Rhinolophus ferrumequinum: one gene and its partner. The protein of the gene in region 1 interacts with the protein of each later gene in a biochemical or structural test. Links are inferred from orthologs where the notes say so. Each region holds a gene or a part of one and is shown in the gene's direction. Other genes may lie near its edges. The genes, in order: CREB1 and RPS6KA5.

The links.
Region 2: of the proteins of CREB1 (region 1) and RPS6KA5, one has a biochemical effect on the other in vitro, tested with the Homo sapiens proteins (3 studies listed by BioGRID, with this or other methods). The link is inferred for Rhinolophus ferrumequinum from reciprocal best matches to the Homo sapiens genes CREB1 and RPS6KA5.

Annotation. Positions count from the first base shown.
Region 1 is NC_046291.1:25,102,884-25,113,887, reverse strand, and holds the start of CREB1 (cyclic AMP-responsive element-binding protein 1), read left to right. Parts: upstream 1-6,678; 5' UTR 6,679-6,789; exon of another isoform or gene 6,790-6,905; intron 6,906-11,004.
Region 2 is NC_046289.1:11,155,936-11,166,908, forward strand, and holds the start of RPS6KA5 (ribosomal protein S6 kinase alpha-5), read left to right. Parts: upstream 1-6,567; 5' UTR 6,568-6,919; coding exon 6,920-7,013; intron 7,014-7,221; exon of another isoform or gene 7,222-7,367; intron 7,368-10,973. UniProt on the Homo sapiens protein: Serine/threonine-protein kinase that is required for the mitogen or stress-induced phosphorylation of the transcription factors CREB1 and ATF1 and for the regulation of the transcription factors RELA, STAT3 and ETV1/ER81, and that contributes to gene activation by histone phosphorylation and functions in the regulation of inflammatory genes.

The DNA of each region.
Region 1 (11,004 bases):
TCTGACTCGGCCACTTACTAGCTGTAAGACCTTGGAGGCATTTCTTTATCCCTCTGTGTTTCAGCTAACTCATCTATAAAATGTTCCTAATATTAGTATTTTCCTCACTGGGTTATGATGAGGATTAAATTAGCTAATATGTCAAAAGTGTTTAGAAGAGTGCCTGGCGCATAGTAAACCCTCGATAAATCTTCACTTGTTACTACTACCGGTTTTAATTGTCAACCACTGGCCTTTTTGAATTTTCTAGGGGGATAAGAGGCAAACTTTGTTTACATGGCATTGCTTTCAGTCACAAGCAAGATGAGAATGCTGCTTACCATTTGGTCCTCAAAACAGAAATTAAAAGCAACCAGAATCTTGCCGATCGGTTCTTCAGTTCTGACGTGGGAGATCAGAAACCTTCAGTGAGGTCCTCATCTCCTTCAGGTTACGGCAGATTCCCCTTATGCACAGGGCATTCATTCCAAGACCCTCAGTAGATGCCTAAAACCACAGATAGTACCAAACGCTATATATACTATGTTTTTCCCTACACATACATACACACATACATGTATATCTATGATAAAGTTTAATTTATAAATTAGGCATAGTAAGAGATTAATACTATAATAAAGTAGGACAATTACAACAAGATATTGTAATAAAGTTATGTGAATGTGGCATTATTAAGAAAAATAAGGGTTACTTGAACACAAGTACTGCAGTATTGATACAGTTGATCTGATAACCAAGATGGCTACTAAGTGACTAAAGGGCAAGTGGAGGATACAGTGAGTATAGGCTGGACAAAGGGACGGTTCCCATCCTGGGCAAGATGGAGCAGCACGGCGTGAGGTTGCATCACACTACTCAGAATAGCATACAATGTCAAACATAAGAATTACTTCTGGAATTTTCCATTTAATGTTTTCAGATCATACTTGACTGTGGGTAAGTGAAAGAGTGGATTACGAGGAAGAATACTATACATGGAAGTGAGACAGAGATGGCTGGGAGCATGGCCATGCTGAAATCAGACCCCACAAGAAGGCCATACTTTGGTGGAACCACCATGATTCAGGCTGCAATACAGAAACTCAGTATTTATAGATGCATCCAGAGGTGATCAGGCTGAGGGAGACCTGTTTAAATTAACCAATGCCAGGAGATTAATATTAAATCCAGAATTTCAACTGCATTCACTCAACAAACATTTGAGTGTGAGCTATGTACAAGACTCTATCCTAGATATTCAGGATACAGCAGTGAAAAGAGAGACACAAGTCCCTGCCCTAGAGGCGTCAGACAACAAACACAATAAGTTAGTGAAGTATATGGCATACCAGAAAGAGATAGGTGCTATGGAGAAAAATAAAGCAGCAAAGAGAGAAAGGGAAAGCAAAGGAGCAAAGAGAGAGGTGGGGTGTAGGGTGGACAGTTTTCATCATAGTAGGGGAAGGCCTCACAGAAAATGGAGACATCTGGGCAAAGACCTGAAGAGGGGAAGAGGACATAAAAATGTCTGGAAGGAGCCTTCTGAGCAGAGGGAACAGCACATGCAAAGTCCCTGAGGAGCGAGTATGTCCAAAGGGTTTGAGGATCAGAAAGGTGGCCAATAGGCCTGAGCAGAGAAGGGACGAACAGCAGAAGTGAGAGCAGAGAGGAAATGGGGTCTTGTAGGTCTAGCTGTAAGAATTGTTCTTTTTCTGAGACGGAGAGCTACTGGATAGTTTTGAACAGAATCATGGTGTGGTTGGCTTTATGTTTTAAAGGATCACTCTGGCTGCTATACTGAGAACAGAATGAAGGGTAAGTGTGGCTGATACAAAATCCTAGTCAAAGGTGACAGGGGCTTCAACCAAGGTGGTATCAGTGGAGATGGAAAGAGTGGTTGTATACTTTGATACCAACAGGGTTTGATGACACATTGGATATGGGGGTGAGCGAGTTACTGAGTTGGCCTCTGCAGTGGGAATGCTGGAGTTGCCATTAACTGAGAGACAAGGCTGTAGGGAAAGGTTTTTGAGGGGACAGGCAATGAGGAGTTCAGTGTCAGACATAATAAAATGGGGACGTCTATGCAACATCCAAGTGGAGATGCTGAAATTCCGGATATACGTACAAGTGCGGATCTGAGACTAGGGAGTTGGGAGCATCCTGACCATATCTAATGCCCTAAAGACATCACTAAGGGAGCAGGTATAGAAATAGAAGAGATCCAAGAACAGAGTCCTGGCATTCTCCAATATGAAGCGGTCAGTGAGCAAAGGAGATTAAGAATAGTGACCAGTAGCACAGGACAAAAACCGGGAGAGTGAAGTATCCTGTAACACTGAAGAAACAAGTGTAACAAGCGAAGAAGTGCTTCAGGGAGGAAGGAACGATAACTGTGTCAAATACTGCTGATGGGTCAAGTGAGACAAAGACTGAGCACAGTAAGTGACACGGAGAGCACTTTTGGTGACAGCAAGAGATAACTGGAGGAGATTCAACAGAAAATGAGAGAAAAGGAAGTGGGGTAGTGAATAGAGCACTGTTTCAATGATATTTACTGTAAAGACAGAAAAAATAAATGGGGCAGTAGCTAGAGAAGGAAGCGGAAAAAGGTTTTTTGGTTATTATTGTTTAAGATTAATTTTAAGAAGAAATATATTAATTTACATGGGAACCATAACCGGTACACAGACCAGGAATAGTTATAACGTATCAGTGCTTTCCTCTTCTCGGTTGGAAAACTATCTGGAAAGTCCAATTCAAATCATGAGATTTTTTTCATGAGCTTTGATAACATTAATAGCACTGATCCCCAATTTCTAAAAGTATACGGCACAAAGCAGGTGCCACTCGATATTTATTTTTAGAATAAACAAGAGAAGTCACCATAGCCTTGGGGTTAGGTAGGAAAGCAAATTAAGTCATGAGAATAAGCAGGGTTCATGGAACTTGAATTTGCAGTGAGGGTGAAAACTAGGTTCAACAGCGGAAGCAAGAGAAAAATAACAGGAAAAGGAAGCCGTGGTTAGAGAAAAGTTCTCAAATATCATCTTCTCCTTGAAAACTTTTATAATCATCTCAAGAGACCCTCCCCCTTTTCTGGACCTCTCTTGCGGCACTTAATACTATGTCAAGTTACATCCGTGTGCTCTTCTCTACTTTTATCTCCCCAATATTGACCATATTTTCCAATAAAAATTTAAGTCAAAACCGGGGGTATTTTCCAAATCCCAGAGACAAAAAATGGATGCCGAAAGTTTAATATTTCTAGTTCATTTCTACAGTGTATGGAGATGCTAGAGCAGAATATATGATATTGGGAGACTAGATTTCAAAGCTGAAGTATATCCAAAATGCTTAGTAAAATAACTTGCACTTGAATGAATGAATGATTGAATGAATGAGTGAACAAAGTGAAGTGAAAAGAGACCAGGAAAGAAGGCAAGAATACAGGATTTACTAACCGAGGCCCACTGGACTGTCACTAGGGCACAAGTGAGCAGGGGGAGTGGGCCAGCAGTCAGAAAGCACCTAGGAAGTCAGGAAAGTAACTATAACATAAAGAGGTACAGCCTACATGAAGGTCAGTGTGAACAGAGAGGCAGAACATGAGGAAACTTTAAAATAAAAAATGACCATATTTGGTAGGTAATAAATATAGACTAGCAGAGTAAATAATGCCAAGGGTAAGAAGAAGGGCAGGGAGACGCTAAACTCAAATTTACAATGTATTTGACACAAGGGTGAGATATGCAACTAAAATCTAGTAACAGGCAACATTTTAATTAATACTGAATACGTATACACATATACCAAACACTGTTCCAAGTACGCTTCCCATGAATGATCTCATTTTATATCACAATAACACTATGACACAGGTGCTGTCATCATCTTTATTTTACAGATGGGAAAACCGAAGCACAAGAGTGAACAATTTGCCCAAAGTCGCATAGCCGTAAGTGACTGAGCCAGGATTTGAACTGGGATTTAAAAATATTAAGGAATTTATCCCAGAACCGCACAGATATTCATTATTTAGTCCATAAATATTTAATGAGTACCGCTATAGTCTAAACATTGTGCTTGTGTCAGGGATGAAAGGGAAGGGGAAAAGCTGGTGGTGAACAAAACAGACATGGTCCCCACAGGCTCAGACCTTACGTAGACACTAAATAAATAATTACAGGTATGATAAATCAGAAAAGGATGCTACAATTAGGTAGGAGAGGATGACAGAAAAGAATTCCAAGGGAGGGGAATGGTATGTGTAAATAACGAGGTGAGAGCCTACAGTAAGGGTAAAAAAGAGAAAGGAGCCTGGAAAAAATAAGATTAATATGGCTGGTGCGCAAAGCTAGGAGGACAGCTGGAGAGGCTAGGGAGAATGACAAGCCCAGGTGGTGGAGGGCCTGGTCTCCACAATAAAGAGCTTAGACTGTTCAGTACGCAAAGGGAAGCCACCGAAAGAATTCAAGCAGGGCAGTGAATTGATCAGATTTGTATGTGTAAAATTACGGTGTCTGCAGCATGGCAAATGTATTGGAAAGAGCCAAGAGCAATTCCGTAGGCTCTGGATGGTAGCTACTTGCAGTACTTCAAGCAAGAGATGAAGGTGGCTTAGACTAGAGTGGGGTGTGGAAAAGTGGTCATAGGAATGGAGAGAGGCCACAAAGTCAATTTCTAAAGGCAGACAGGTCTAGGTGATTCTGATGTGTGTCAGAGACAGCTCAGGTTTCTGGCTTGAAATGAGTAGATGGATAGGATGCCTTTTACTGATCCCAGGGCTATGGGAGGAGGGTTTTGGAGGGAATATGATATACAGGTTGAGTATGACATGCCCCAGTCATCCAATGAAACTGCAGTAATGGCAGTTGGAATATGAATCTAGAGATAAAAGCAAGATCTAGGCTTGAGTTATGGGATGGCCAGACTTTGGCAGAGCGTATCTGAAGGTACTGGAAGAGCATGAGACCACCTAGGAAAGTGTATATGGTGGGGCTCACGGAGAGGGCTCAGTTCAGTGGGATTCCAATCATTAAGAGTTGGATAAAAGAGGAGAAGCTGGTTGTTAAAAAGCAACCAGAGAGGTCAGAGGAAAACTTTGATATAAGAGCAGAGGGAAGAGTCTACCTGGATGATGGTGTGGTCGATAGTGTCCAATGCTAGACGAAAGTCTCATAAGATGATGACTGAAGCTTGTCTGGAACAAATCAGAACTGCTTCAGTCCAGTGGTAGGAACAGAAGCTCCACTGGAGAGAGTTGAGAATTGGGACATGAGAGAATGTCCACGGGGTAAGAGACAACTTAAGTCATGGATGGAGAGGGATTTAAGGAGACAAATCTTTTTAAAGAAACGTGAGACTTAAACATGTTTAAATCCTAAACAGGAAAGCCAGTAGAGATGGAAAGACTGAAAATAACAGAAGGAAAGGTGGATACGCTTCAGCGCAAAGTCCCGAAGAAAGCGGGAGATGATCGACCCGGAGTACCACGAAGGGAAAAATAAACGAGTACCACCGAGGGCTACTCTTTGTAACAGGAAGCCAATAAGGGGTGGAGTTCAGGATTGGACCGTCTCACCAGCTTCCTAAAGACAGGTTTGCTTTAAGGGACAGAAAGAAAATTATAAAAGACCTGAGAGCCCAGGGAGAGGGCTGCAGGGTTCAATAAAAAGGAGAATGACTTCAACATCGTGACCTTGGACGACCTCTGAGAGAGGAGTTTCAGTAGCCGCGAGGCAACAGAAGTCACACTGTCGGGTTTAGAGCCCGAGTGGGTGGTGAAGAACAGGGTGCGGTGGGTGCAAACCATTGCTGCAGAAAACAGGCTGTGAAAAGAAAGCGACACAGCAGGATGCCAGAAAAAAGGCGGCAGGTGAGGGAGGAGGGCAGACATTTCGGAAGTGGCGAAGAGCAACCTCGGTCAGGGCAGGTCATTGCTAGGAGGCCCTGCAGGGCCGAAGATCACCCTGGATGCCCGCGCAGCCGGGCTGAACCCCGCAAAGACGCCACAAGTCCCAGAGCCTCCCCATCCCCACCCCCACCACCCCCAAAATAGAATAGTGTCGCCGGCGGCCGCCAGGTTTCTCAGCTGATTCTGAGCGGGGCCGCCAGGCCAGTGCAGTGAGGAGGAAAGCCCTCCCCACCGGGGCCCCGCTGACCCACGGCCCGCGCCGGCCCAGCGCAGTGGCCTCCCGTGCCAGCGCCCGGCCCTGCCCGGCCTTGGGGGCGTCTGCAGACGCGCAGCAGCCCTTCCTCCCCACCTCTCACGACTCCCGCATTCAGCCGCGTCCTAGACCCCGCGGCGCGCCTTCCACGTCCCGGCAGCGTTTGAAAGTTCCCGGGCCGGCGGCCGCAGCCACCCTAGCGCCCGCCGCTTACCGCCGCAGGGCTAGGCCCACACGGGGGTTTCCATCGAGTCGTCGACACCCCTCGGGAATTCCCCACCCCGCCACACACCAACCCCACTTCCTCTTTCAAATTTCCGCCGCCAGGTTTTATCGGTCCAAAAACCCAGCGGGCTTGGAACCCTCCTCCCCCAGCTGGTCTCAGCCCACCTTCGCCGTCCTACTCCTGGCGGAACCCCTTCGCCTCGCCCGAAAGAGCCCGAAGGCCTTCGGGAAGTTCCGCCTCCAGCGCGAGGGGCGGGGCCGTTCGAGCTCCTCCGGGCCGAACTCGGCTGTTTCCGTGCGCGGCCGCTGCGCACTCGGCACTGGGCGGCGCTGGCTGGCTCCCTGGCTGCGGCTCCTCAGTCGGCGGCGGCTGCTGCTGCCTGTGGCCCGGGCGGCAGGGAGAAGCGGAGTGTTGGTGAGTGACGCGGCGGAGGTGTAGTTTGACGCGGTGTGTTACGTGGGGGAGAGAATAAAACTCCAGCGAGATCCGGGCCGCGAACGAAAGCAGTGACGGAGGAGCTTGTACCACCGGTAAGAGGAGCAGGAGGAGGAGGCAGGAGCCGGAGAGAGCCGGGGGGACGGAGGGGGGACGGGGAGGCGCCGGACACCCGCGCTCGGGGCCTTCCCCTCGCAGGAGGGGCCGCGGTAAAGATGGAGCCTCCGCCCGAGCCCCACAACATCGCCGCCGCTCGCAGCGAACAAAGAATAATGGCGGCGGACTGGAGCCAGCGGCGGCCGGGGCGGCAGCGACTCTGCCTGCAGCCAGCGGCGGCGCTCATGGCGGGGGGCGGCGGGCAGCGGGCGGGGTGGGAGCCGGCGACCAGGGGTGTGTGCGGGCGGCTGGCCGCGGTGAGCTGGCGCCCGCGTTCCCGCCGCCGCCAGGCCGGGCGGGCGCGGAGCCGGGAGCCAGGAGCCGCCCCGGGGGAGGCCGCCTGCCCGTCCCGGTCCATCTTGGCGCTGCTGGCCCCCATGCGGTTCGCCAGGCCCCCGCCGCCCGCCTCGCCCCCGGCCCGGCCGTCCGCCCGGGCAGCGCCGCCGGGGTGCCTGCGGGGGGTGAAGGAGGAAGAAGGCGACCGTGGAGGGCAGAGGAGGTGAAGGTGCCTGCCTTCCCGGTAGCCGCCTTGTCTGCCGTGCCCGCTTCGCGCGGAGAAGCGCGGCAACGTCTGACCTCCTCTTCTCCGCTCTCTCTTTGTGCAATAAAGTTCGAAACCAAAGGTTTCCTCTCGTCCTGTATTTTATTCATGCCCTTTCCCCCTGCTCCCACCCCGTTGGGGAAACACTGTTGTTTTCTCTGCTTAGTTGAGATGATGAGGGCTCGTGCATTTTTAGATAATTTTGACTCTGTCCCTCACCCTCTTTTTTTTTTTTTTTTTTGAACTCAGTAGTCATGGAAATGCATTCTTTTGGGGAGGAAGGGGGTGCTAAGAAAAACATATTTGTAACAACTTTTAAAAAACTGTTGGGATCTTGTAAAAGGGAAGCTGGTGTTTGAAAACAGTTTCGGTTTTAACCCTTTTCAATAAGGTTATCATTTGAGATCTATCATTCTGAAACACTTCGTTGAAACGAATATTAGCCGACGTACTTTTGCTTTACATCACTTTTTTCCCCAACCTTGCTAACCGCGTTTGGGTCTTCGGGATTTCTCCATCCCACCTCCTACCCTGTTGCCCACATGTTTCTATCTAAACTTCAATAATATTGATGGATACTAACAAAAAATAGGCATTTAAAAGTATCCATTATTTGTCTCCCATGAAGTAGGTAACCCCAGCCTGAGACTGACAATAATTTAAACCACAAGGCTTATTTTGTTTCCCTGTTGGGAAAAGCCACAGCAGAAAAGGCATTGACACATTAAAGATTAAAAGATAATTTTTAAAGGACCTGGAATATGACCTATTTAAGTTTGTCATACCTTCTTAAGAAGATAGAATTTCATTCTGGCCTTAGCTTGCATCCGTTCTGCCTTCTAAAGGTTTAGTATAAAAGATACTTTTGGTTGCCAGATACTGAAATCTTTTACACTCACTGCACATTTCCTGATTTAAAAGTAAAGCCAAAACGGTTACTTTTAGGTGGTGCAAAAGATGAACAGGTTGTTTTAAAAATCTATGACAGTATGATACAATTGATTAATATGTACAAAGTTTCCTGTTAGGAATAAATATTGATTGGTAAAGAACTGTCTTCTGATTTTTCTGTATCCAAGTCACTTTTCCAAAACTTTATTTATTTTTTGCTGTATTGCCAGTTTAAAAAAAAAAACAACAACACATCAGCAGTTTGTTATTGAAAAACTTAAGATGTAATAAAGAATTTTTCCATAAGGCTTGGGAAGATGATTTTATTTCCAAACACAGGAAGTTACAGTATTGATGAAGCTATAGAGCACTGTTTTTCCTTAAGAAAGATTTTCTGCAAACCAGTGTATGTTGATTAAATTTTTTTCGTTACTGAAAATACAGAACAATAACACTGTGAAATTTGAAAAGAAAAAAAAAGTTTTCCGATGGATTTTTTTCTTCAGCCTTATCCAAAAGATCTTTTATTTATAGATTCATAATCTGTAATTCTTAGCAGTTCCAGGTAAAACTTTTCAAACTTTGTTATATTCACTAATTGAATATTCACTTGGAGCATGATACTAAATTATATTTCTATACCCTCTCAGGGATCAGTAAAAATCAGTTAAATCTGCTTGAACTTTTATTTTTTAATGGACACCTGTATTCAGAAAGTGAATGAATCTTTAACAGAAATTGAAAAATGTTAGGAAATGTTTTAAATGGGATTTAAAAATCTAGTGTTACCCCTTTTGAATTTTTTTTTTTTCACGGAAGAGCCTAAGGAAACTTAGAAATCTGATCCATAAAATGGCACCTCTTTTTTTCTGCTTTCTGAAATTCATCTTCTTGATTAGATCTCCTTAATAGAAATTTTTGTTTCTTCCTAGATAAGTAGCTTTGTTCTGTCTCCTAAAACACGGGGTTTTGTTTTTTGGAGTATATATGGTTACAATAAAACCAAGTATGTATCCCCCACTTCACCTCAATTTAAAAATCTTTTCCCATAGTAGAAAAAACTTTTCTTGTAACATAATGTTTACAATGTATCACTGAAATTTATAATTTCATTTCTTCCATAAATACCTTGTCTGATATAGTTATATGCACTGTTTTGTAGCAGCCTGTGACAGTCTTATATCTTTCTTCATGAACAGTGTTACTTCGAGTGACGTCTTCTTTATTGAATAGTCAGAGCTCCAATCTGAATGTATGGATATAGTAGATAGGGAATGGGGAAAAAATGCAAGGATTTTTGTTTTTCTTACTCGTGTGAACTCATTTCTACCACAGTATCACTTGAGACAACAGTTTATGGTAATTCAAATATTTAGTTATAATTTACTGTGACAGAGAATGTAGTTAATGGAAAGAGCGTTAGGTTTGGAATCACTTGGCCATTACCGTCATGTGCCTTCCCTCAAGGAATTTTGTGACTTACGGGAAATTTCCTAATCTTTCTCAGCCTCAGTTTCCTTATTTGTTAAATTAGAATAATACCACCCACTTTATATGGTTGTGAGATTATTATAAAGTACCTCCTTAGGGACTCAGTGATAGATACTCATTTTAAGTTTTATTTTAACTTCCTAGTTGTGGGACATTGGGCAGTTTCCTCAGTCATGAATGTACAACATCTACCTCAGAAATGTGGGGATTAAATAAGTTAATACATGTAAACTATAAAAATATTTAATACATACTAAATATCAGGTATTTCACAAATGCTCAGCAAATGTTTCCTATTATTAAAATTATTCATCATTAATGTTACTATGTTTAATACAGTGGAGCAGAAGCTGCAGCAAGTCAAAAAATAAATTACTTAACACTCTTATCTCTACCCTAAAGGAAACTTTTAGGGACTCAATGACTAATAAGGCAGAATATGTCATAAGAAAGCGATCAAAGGAAAGAGAAATCATACTTGGTAAAATAATGGAAAAAGAATATTAATAGTTTTATATTTCCAATTTTATTTTTAATAAGTAATTCACTCAGTTCATAATTCAAAACAAAAAATATAGGAAAAGTCGTGTATGTGTGTCACCCCCACCCCAGTCACCCAAGTGTTACTGATTTCTTGTCCTTTCAGAGGTATTCTATCTGTACACAAGCAAATATGTATGTGTTTTCCTACCCCCCCTTTTTATACAAAAGATATATATACTATATACACTATTGTATATCTTGCTTTTTTCCACTTAAGATTGCTTAGCAATTGGTTTGTATCAATACATAAAGAGCTTTATTATTATTATTATTACTATTATTGAGGCATTCCATCGTATGGATCTACCTATATTTATCAACCACTTAATGAGCTGATTTTATTTTTAGGTCTTATATGACCTTTTAAACTAAGGGAATCTGTCATTCTGTCTTTATTTCTTAGAATGAAATACTTCATTAAATGAGAAATAGCATTTTGTGACAGGAATTTATTTGAACTGCCTCAATTACCTTTTTAGCTTCAGTGCATGAAAAGGCAAATAAGCTGTGTAAGAATTAACTATGAAAGTGAATTTAACTCTTGTTGAGGTTCTTACAGTCCTGAACAGACT
Region 2 (10,973 bases), on another chromosome or scaffold:
CTGTGTGTTTTGATGGAGTCAGTTAAAGGGGGGGGGGCCTGATCCTAATTCTTATAAATCCAAAGCTGAGGAGCTCCCACTCACACTGCATGAACAGTGAGTTCCTGAAGTCCTAACGGCTCACACCAACAGGGCCGTCCCCACTTTGCTTTAGGCCTCCTTCTCCCCCTCCCCGTGCTAAGGGTCAATGAAGCCACATAGCACAGTGCCATAGATACAGGCTCACTAGATAAGGAGGTGAGCAGAGGGCCCCACTCCTGTGCCAGGTTCCAGCAGGCCTGGCAAAAGGCAGTTTCTAAGGGAACAAACGTATTTTCAAGCTTTTTTCTCTAGTACTCTTCCCGGCTTTAGGAAATACGTGACTTTCTCCTGGACACGTTCCCTTTCCCAGCCCGTTCACGGACAGACCTGCCCTCCCTACTTGCCCGTCTCTCAGGGCAGGAGGGAACAGTGATATTTCCCTTAATTCCAGCAACTATGTTCAGACCACCGTCCATTATCTCACTCCCCTTCAACAATTTTTCCTCCTTTCAACCCCAAGCCATGACCTCAGATCACTGTCTGATCAGTTAAGCTCCCCCACCCGTTGTTTTTGGTGCCTTTAGCCCCTGACTTGCAATTTTTCCTCCTAACATCTTTACTACCTCTGAAAAGTTGCTGTTGTTTCAGAACTCCAACTTGCTCTTACTCACCATCCTCTCCTCTGTTGGTTGTACATCAGAGTTGTACATTACAAAACTGGTTCTACGTTATAATCACGGGAGGGAGGGGTGCTTTCAAAAGAATTCTGAAGTCTAGGCCCTTTCCGAGACCAATTCAGTTGCACTTTTCAGGGGTGGGAGTTGTTGTTGTTGTTTTTAAACATCCCAGGGGACTCCAATGTGCAGCCAAAGTTGAGAAATGCTGTTTTACTCCTTTATGTTAATTCACTCCCGCTCCTGGACTCCAGCCTGTTCTCCCAGGCTAGCAGTTTATCCTGGGCTTCACTGCCTGCTCCCTCAGCTTAGGCCCCAGGGTCACTCATTTCAACCAGGCTGATGCCCAACTGCTAGTCTCCATCCCCAAGGGGGAATGTAAGTTGCTAGAGGAAGATATTAAACTATCTGATTCAGGTTTTCTAAGTCCACCTGGGCCCCCAGTGTTAGGCAGCAATTACCCAAGCTGGCTTGCTATATTTATTTTTCACAGTGACTGTCCCAAACTGTTTCCACCATCTTCAGTTCCCAGGTCCATCTCTTCCCATCTCCCCCATCACTCAGCACAGGGTTTGCGTCTCTGAAATAAAGTCTTTGCTACATGAATGAACATCTGAGTGGGTATGAACTCTCAACAAGTGGGATTAGCTCATAGGGCTTATTCCTGCTTTACTGAGATTATACCCTAAACTGGCTCCTCTTTTTATATGTACTCTTTAAATGTAGGTTTCTGACTCTTTCATTCGTTCATTCATTCAACAAATATTTACTGAAAGTCCATTTTAAGCTAGAACCTATTTTACATGCCAGGGATATCGAGATGACATGGCCAAGACACCCCCAAGTCTATAAGCTGGTCCGTGCCTGCCTCTGGCTCCTCCTCTCCCTCTCCTTCCTTGGTGAAGGACGTGGCGCCTCCTCCCATCAGAAGTAAACCTCTCAGCCAGCTCAGGCTCCCAGCCCCGCCCACTTTGTCAGAGATTCACTTCAGTGTTTCTCAACCTTTCCCCCATCCACCCATCTCATCACCATTCAAACATGTTCCAGCATTTCTCATCTTAAAAAAGCCATCAGATAGAAAATTACCATTAGAATGTCGCAGCCATAACTGCTGTAGGCAATATCCACCAGTGGATGTTAAAATTAGTGCGGGAAAGTCTAATGAGAAACAGGATATTTGCATAGTCTAAAAGTATCTCACAGGCCTCCCAGTATTCATTAATTACAATGGGAAAAACAATTACTTTGGAGTAGAGAAACATAGCAAACACCACCTCAACCAAGTGCTCGAGGTTAACCCCACAAGTACTAAGAATATACATTTCTTGTACCCAATCAGATGAATTGATGAAGACCCCATCACCTCTGTAGCACTCTTGACAAAAAATGTGCAACTTCAATTTACTCACAGGAAAATATCAGGCACACCCAAATCAGAGGGCAGTCTCCAAAGTACTCGACCAGTATTTTTCGAAAGAGTTTAGTTCATGAAGTTAAGGCAAGACTAAGGAACTGCTACAGATTGGGAGAGACCAAGGAGCCATGACAATTAAACATAATGTAAGGTCCTGGATTGGATCTTGGCAGAGAGAAAGGGCATGGTTGTGTTCCAATGAAACTTTATGGACCCTAAAATGTCAATGTCACATAATTTTCACGTGTCACAGTACACTCTTCTTTTAATTCTTTTTCAACCATTTAAAAATATAAAAACCATATTTGTGGAAAAAGTGGTAAAATCTGTAGAGTCTTTATTTAATGATATGCCAATGTTAATTTCTCAGTTTTGATGATTGAACTATGGTCTGTAACATATTCACATTAGGGGAAGCTGACTGGAGGGTATGTGAAAATTCTGTACTGTTTTTGCAACTCTTCTGCAATTTTAAAATTATTTAAAAATAAAAAGTAAACAAACAAAACCTCCTTCAATCCTTCCTTCTCTATTTTCCTTCAGAGACAAACTCCTTGAAGAAGATGTCCACACACACTGTTTTTATTCCACCTCCCATTTTCTCTACCGAAACTGCCTTGGATATTATCACCAATGGCACCGAAGTTGGCAAATTCATGGGCTCTTTCCACACCTCATCTTATGTGACCTTTCAGGGCATGTGACCACTCCCTTCTTCTTGAAACACTTTGGCTTCCAAGAAACAAACTCTCCAGGTTTTTCTCCTACCTCTCTGGCTCCACCTTTCATTCCAATGTCACAACGTGAAAATTCCTTAGATTTCAGTCCTGTGCTCCTCGTCTGTCCGCACATTCTCTCCCCAGGGAAGCTTACTCATATTGTGGCCTCAGATAGCATCTATATGCTAATGATTTCTCTATCCTATATCTCTCTGCAGTGCTCCAGACTCATATATCCACATAGCTACTTAATATTGGCATTGGATGTTTCGACAGGAAACTCTTGATATTCTCTCTGATATGTGCTTTTCCTTTAATTCACTGCTCTCCTTAAATGGTACCACCACTCTCTTCCATCTACCCAGTTGCTCATGCGAGAAAATTTGATTTCAGAAACCCTTTTATCCCTCACCCATCAAATCCAATCCTTTATGAAGTCCAAAATGTATATCTAGAAACATTCCATTTCTTTCAATATCTACTGTATCCACTGTCATCTTTTGCCCAGAATACAGTGATAACCTCCTAACTTGTCTCCCTGTATTTCCTCTTGCTCCCTCCAGCCCAGTGTCCAAACACTAACCACAGTGACCTTTGGAAAATACTACCCCAATTATACCATTCACCTGTTAAATTCCTTCCATTCCTTCTAACTTCACAGAGGAAAAAAAAATTCCAAAAATATTAATAAGTCCTACCATACACTTTGTGATTGGATATCTGCCTGCCTCCCTCACCTCATCTCTTGCTTACTGTGGACCTGTTGGCTTTCTCTCAATCCCTAAAATACAATGGGCCCTTTGCTTGCCTCACGACCTTGCATCTGCACCTTCCTAGAATTTTATCCCCCCAATAATTCACTTGTGAAATCATCAAGGTAGGCTAGATTATGCTTCGTTAGCAAGCAACCCCAACATCGCCATAGCTCATGCCTGATAAGATTTATTTATTGCTCACATGACAGTCTGATTGTAGGTCAGGGTGGCTCTTCTTCAAGACTCAGGGGTTCAGGGGTCCTCTAAATTGTGGTACCCCGACATTCGAAATGCAGCCTTTGTAGTTGCTGTGGAAAGAGTAAAGAGCGTGAGTGATTATGCATGGGGCTTTCTCTGCCGGGCTTGGAAAGGCCCACATCGTGTCTGTTCACACCCCATCGGGCCGATCACGTCACATGACCCTATCCTAACTTCAAAGGAAAAAAAAATTGTAGTTTTTCTGTGTGTCCAGGAAGAGGAAACGAGATTGGTGAGCATCAGGCCAGTCTCTGCCACTTCCTGGTAAAACCTACTCATCTTTAAAGAATCAGCTTAAATAATACTTCCTTGTAAAGGCCTTCAAGTTTTTCTGACCTAAATTAGACCCCCCTGATATATTCTATTGTAGCACTCTATGATTTTCCTTTGCCTCATTATCACAATCGTAAGTTTCCATTTCCTTATGTAATGATTTAAGATTTATTTCCATTTCTAGATGGGATTGCATGTTTTGCTTTCATGGTGCTTGTAGCATCTATCACAGTACTTGGTAGATAATTGGTGTAAAAGTTGTTAAGTGAACAAATGAACAATTGCACACAGTCATTCCCTGGCTACAAACAGCTCACTACTTGTGAAGAAGAAAGACAAGTATGTAGACAGTCATGGTTTAGTGGGATAAATGTTCCAGGCAGGTAAGCCCCAGGAGCTGAGGGCAACCTGAAGAGGCTGTCCAGACGTCTGTGCTTTATCTTCCATGGCAATCTAATCCAGGAGTCTATAAACTATGGCCTGCAGGCCAGGTCTGCTTTACAGCCTGTTTTTTTTTTTTTTTTTTTTTTTTATGGCCCAAGAGCTAAGAATGGGTTTTATATTTTTAAATGGTTGAAGAGAATTAAAGGAATAAGAATACATTATGACGTGACAATTATGCGAATTATAATTTCAATGTCCATAAATAAAGTTTTGTTGAAACACAGCCATATCCATTAGTTTACTTATTGCTTATGGCTGATTTCAATAGCAGAGTTGCATAGCTGTGAAAGAGACCACATGGTCAGCACAGCCTAAAACATTTACTATTTGGTCCTTTACAGAAAAACTTTGCTCACTTCTGATCTAATCCATGCTTAGTTTAAAAGTTCATTTCTATGTGAATTATGTCCAAGTTTCCATCTTTAATCCTCTCCTTTTCCCATTCTCATGTCCACTGCCAGAAATCAGGCCCCCCTAAATTCTGTCTTTGCAGGAGTGTTTTTGCCCTGCTATCTTTCTCTTCCTCCCTTCAGTCTATCCTTCTAACTAACTTCTAAGAGAACAACTTTGATATTTGTAATGGAGGGGCTCAGCTCCCAGCAGGTGAACGCAGGATATGGTAAGGCTGAAAAGGAACAACAACGGAGCCACGGATAGGTGGTTCATACCACTAGATTCTCGATGGCGGCTGGTCGAGACATGGGAAGCAAACATCCGCCAATACCTTAACCAGGGGTCTTCCTGCACCACAGTCTCGATGGTGGCCGGAGGAGACACAGGAAGTAGAATCCTCAAGACCTGCACTTGCCAACGTAGCCGCTGCAGTTATATAGCATACAGAACAATAGTGGCTGGCGGCCAACTGGTTACAGCTGACGGCCAACTGGTTCTAGCTGATGGCCAACTAATTACATAAGTGCTTGCATGTGCGGGTTACATAACCAAGCCAGCACCTTAACTAGTCTTTGAGGCTCCCCATCTTTAATTAAATAAAATCTGCACTGTTTAGCCTGGTAGTCAAGGTTCACCATTATCTTACCACATCTTACCTTTTTAGCAGCGTCTTCTACATCGTACTCCATGCAGCCCATCTTTACTTAACCCATCCTTTCCTTCTTTACCTCCAGGCCTATGTTCAAAGTTACCATCTCTGTAGGAAATGTCTGCTTCTGGTATTTCCGTTTTCCCCATTCTTTAAGTTGGTTATTTCAAATGTCCCCTTTCCCTAAAAGCCTTCCCCACCTCCTCTACCGAGAATAATTATTGCCATCTGTGTAATTCTCTAACAGTTTGAATGACTGTTTTATTTCAAATCCAGCTCTATGGTCTCCTGTATATACAGAAAGATTGTCTGTTTCTCATGTCCTATTGAAAGTCTCTCAGGGGCAGGGATTATATTTTATTTTATTAATCTCTGTATCTTTTTGGTGCCTAGGATGCGTCTTGCACAAAATGGAAATGTCTATCCTTTGCAAAAGTTCTGGAGAGCTGGGATTGTGAATTTTTGCTAAGAACTACCTGTATTTAAGTACAAATCCACTTAACTTCTTTAGGGCTCACTAGAGCGAATAACACCTTTTTAAAGACACGTTGTCTTCCAGCTGTCACACATCTGTGTATCGCTATCTGGGACCCTCAGGTACGTCTGCAAACACGTGTGTGAGAAGCACTTCCCCTCCCCAGACCACGCCTCTGTCCACGGTGATTGGCAGACCAAACATTAAAATCAGCCCTCTCCGCCCTTTCAGCATTAGCCAATCAGAGACCCCGAGATCCTCCTGACTACTAGACACTATTTACTAACAGATCGAAGCTGGGGAATAGGGGTGTGACCATTCTGGGGAGGTCAGGGAAGGGAAGGTCCCGACTGCGCGTGCGCAACAGTGGAAGTGGGCGGCGCACAATCTCGATTTCACCAATCGGAGTGGTCGCGCTCCTCCCTCTCCTGCCTCCCCGCCAAGCAACAACAATTCGAGGAGCGGGGCGGGGTAGCTCGAGAAGCATCAGAGCGGATTGCCCAATGGAAGCCGGCGTTGACAGATGCGCGCGCTCTGTGCCCAATAAGCGATGGCGGCTCGAATGGCTCCTGTACCTTGCTGGCTGTGGGCGGAGCGGCTTGAAGGAGGAGGCGGCGGACCAGGGGGCGGTTTGGTTGCGCGGTACTAGCGGTGCCCGCCGTAGGGGGAGGAGGCGGAGGAGCGAGCCGTGCGGCCAGAGCGGGAAAGAGACTCGTCTCTGCGTCCGAGTGCTGGAGCCGCCGCACCGCGGCTCCTGGGGCTGCAGCGGGAGCTGTGAGGGGCCGGGCGTCCTCTGTCTCTCGGGTCCCCTTGTAGAGCCCCGCGGGATCGGAAAACGGAGAAGATGGAGGAGGGCGGCAGCGGCGCCGCGGGGACCAGCGGGGACGGAGGCGCCGGGGGAGAGCAGGTCCTCACTGTCAAGCACGAGCTGCGGACGGGTGAGCGACCCCGCCTTCTGCCGGCCGGGCCCGGCGCGGGGGCGCGCCCCGAGGGCACGCGGGTGCCCGCGCGGGCCGGGGGGGGGGCGCGGGGCTGGGCAGTCGCCGCGGGGGGCGGGCCCGGGGCGGGGCCTCGCGGGCGGAGCAGGAGGCCGGGGTCCCGGGATGTGGGGGCGCGCCCAAGGGGAGCGGTCGGAAAGTTTTCGGGAGCCGGGGAATGAGCGGCGGGCGCTGGGCGTTGGAGCCCGTGGGGCAGCCGACAGCTGCCTGTTGGCACTCGTCTCCGAGGATGTCTTCGGGCCCCCTTCCCGCACAGGTGACACATCTGTCACTGCATCCTGTTTGGGGTAAAAGGTGCGCCTTCCTCAGTGTGGGGAGAACGACACTTTGTTTTGGAGCGTGACTCACTTCTCCACCCCTCTGCTTCCCGTGAGGTGGTCCTGGTGGGGCTGTGTGGAACCATCCCCTAAGGTGCTGGGGTCCTGTACTAGATAACAGGGAGGCTGTCCCAGCGCTTTTCAGGCGTGCATTCTCCAGTGAGATAAAGAGGGATCGCAGGCCCCGGGGACTGAGTGCTTTTATTTGCAATTGTCATGAAATACTATACTTGGCCTTAAATTTCTTTCAGAGGTCTCTTGAGATGAAGAGTCTATAAATTTAAAGCTCTAGGTAAAAGCGACTAGCTAGCCGGCTTAAGCACTTACGTTCTGATGTTTGAGATCACTAGAGTTGTCCCAGCTTTATACTTGTTACTTTATTCGTTGTGTGGGTCAGGGTTCCTATTAGAAAATGCTTATTTGGACTAATGAGTAAGTTTGAATTTATATCTGTGGAGCCCAGTTTCATATAAGAGATTCTTTTTTATTTCTGAACAGATACTACATTAGTGAGTTGTTCATTATTACTATTAAATATTCTTGTGGACATTTATAAAGGTTTTTGATGGAGCTACTTTGGAATATTGGATATTCTTTGATTATGTAGACACAAAGCTTATACAGCAGGTTTCAGGTGCACGCTTAGGACATCTTGTTACTGTTTTGAACAGATTGTAAAGTTCGATCTGTCGCTATTCTTTTAGTTTTTGTTATTTCTAATTTGATTGTCAGTTATTCCACGGAGTGCCAAGTGGTGAGTTGGTTTAAGAGGATGTCAAATGCATGGTTACTAATTTCAACATTTTTAAACATTGTTTTTTTGGTCGTTGTGAATTTATGTATCTTGAGTCAGTTACTCCATAATCTTTTTAAGTTCCTAATATAACCTGTGTGGGTTTGGTTGGTTTGATTTTTCTCTCTCAATTTAATAGATAACTGATGTTTTCAAAGGCCTATTAAAACATGTATTCAGTATTAATATCTGATTTGTGCCTGGCTCAGGGTTAGGTGCTTTCTTGTGTGGAGATTTTTAATTTCTTTTTCTTAGCTTACGTAACGAGTCACTGATTTATATATGTAGAATCGTGCTGTACTGCAAAAGCTACTTGAATCATACGCTCCTTGGTCACTGACCATAGTGCAACAAGCAGCTTTTTGCTAAATGACCAAAGAGCAACTTATTTGTTTTTAATAGTCAACCAACTGCTCAGTTTCTGGGTTTTGCAAACAATGCTAGTTTTGGAGAAAACAATGAGTACTGCTTTATTTCCCCTTCTCTACTGTGTGAATCATCAGCTTCAAGTTTGCATTTCAGAAATTTTTCTGATGGATGGTGAGATTACACTGAATTCATTAGTACTGTTAACTGTCAAAGGAAATGAATAGTCATTTTGATTTATTGCTGACCGGATATAGTGGTCAAAAACACTGTTAAAATGTAGCTTGAAAAATTCACTCATCTTCAGCCAACTGTGCTCCTGTCAGCACATGATGCTATAATAGGCGCCAAGGTAATTTGATCTGATATGGTCCCTTGCTTCTCAAAATGTGGACAAGTCTATAGTCATATCAAGTTAGCAGTTGCTGATTGCCCATCTGTGGCCAACACTGTATGGTATGCGGTAGGATGCATGAAAAGGCAATGAAAGTCACATGGAAGGGCATGGAAATTGTTGCAGTTGTGTAGACTGGACCTGGAAGACTTCGTTCTAAATCCCAGCTCTGCCATTTTATAGCTGTGTAGACTTAGATGAGTCACTTTACTCTTTCAGACTCACTTCTAGCATCTACAGAGTGTGAGAAATTGAATGAGACCCTGTTGGAAAAGTGCTACGCAGGTTGCTTGGCACGTATTAGGCACTCAGGAGATGTTGGCTGAATGTCAACCTGAAAATCACTCCATAACAGTGTCTTTTCTTCAAGTGTGTGAATTAGTCTAATATCACTTGGAAAACGAATCGCTCATTTGTGGGCAAGCTATGCCACATTGCCTGCCTATCATCTTTTTCGGTACGTGTCTTCTGAAGTAGAGTGTTAACACCCCACAATCCCTGCTGCTGCTAAGCAGCCTGTGCATGTCTCTTTAATAGCATTTCACACAAATACTGTATAATCAATCTACTTGTCTGTGCTAGAAAGTAAGGCCCTTGAGACCTTGTTCTTTATTCTTTATCCATGTCCTTTGTCTATTTTCAGCCCCTGGTATATGGTGGGCACTCACATATTTATTGAATGAATTCACTGAATGGATGAAAATGTAAGATCAAGTCTAACCATTTATTGTATTCTCAGTACGTTGGACATATTAGCTGGTTGATAAATTGATGACAGTGGCTATAAAAGCTGAAGGAATGAAGAGTAAAGAATTGATTAGACTGGTTAAGCATGTATTTCTTGAGCACTTTATGTTTTCTAGACTAGATGGTCCTGATGATACCAGAATGACTAAGAAAACGTCTTGCCCTCTGATAGCAGGGGAGGAGGCCATGTAAACCAGTCATTAGAATATATTGTCATAAGTATAATATTAGAGGGATATACAGAGTATAAAGGTAGCAAAGAAAAGGTTAGGACTTTTAGGTTTCAAATAATCGACTCTAATTCTGTTGAAAAACAGCAACAAGAAATGGTGGGGGTATTATTGGAAGGGTACTGGGTTATCTTATCCATTCACTTATTCAATAACTATTTCATTACCTCTTATGTACTGAGTGCTGTTTTAGGTACTGGGGTTGCGTATGGTCTTCCCACTGGAAGGATAGAGTTGCATCAGGAATCGCTGGAACCAGAGGCTTATGTTGTCTGTACTCTCTCCGTCTTTGCTTGTCTGTGTGTAATGACTTTATTCTTCTCCACTGCTGTCCAACTTTTCCCACATGGGAAAGAACATGCCTGCTGACAGGCCTCAAGTTTTAGATCTTACAGCTTCAGGTGCTGGAGAGACACTGCCTTTTACTTAGCTTAAGGTACGTATACAAATCAGGAAAGGACATTATTGGCCCGACTGGTCAGGTGCCCTCTTTTGGATCATTCAGCTGAGGCGGGGGAATGGGAGTATGTCCGACTAACGTGACAGCTATTACGGGTGGGGGTGAAAAGGAACTCTTAGAAGAGGGAGGGTTCCTGGGAAGACACTTCCTTAGGTGTCCATCATTAGGAGAGAGAGCCTAGCTGAGGAGAGGGTTAAGGAAGGGGTATTAGTTATCTATTGCTGGGTACCAAATTACCCCCAAACTGAGGGGTGTATAAAGCGACGTGATTTCGGCGTTGCTTAGCTCGATGGTTCTGACTCGGAGTGTCTCATGAGGTTGTAGTCGAGATGTTGGCCGGGGCTGCAGTCTCCTGAAGACTTGTTTAGGAGCTGAGGTTCCCCTTCTAAGACGGCTCACTCATGTTGTTGGCAGGATGCTCCATAAGGATGGCTGAATGTCCTCATGACAGTTGGCTGCCCCAGAGCAAGTGACTGAAGAGAGAGCAAGGTGGAAGCCACCATACCTTTTTCGTTAAACCACTTTTTCTGAGATATAATTTACATACCATAAAATCCACTTCTTTAAAGTGTACAATTCAGGGAATTTTATGT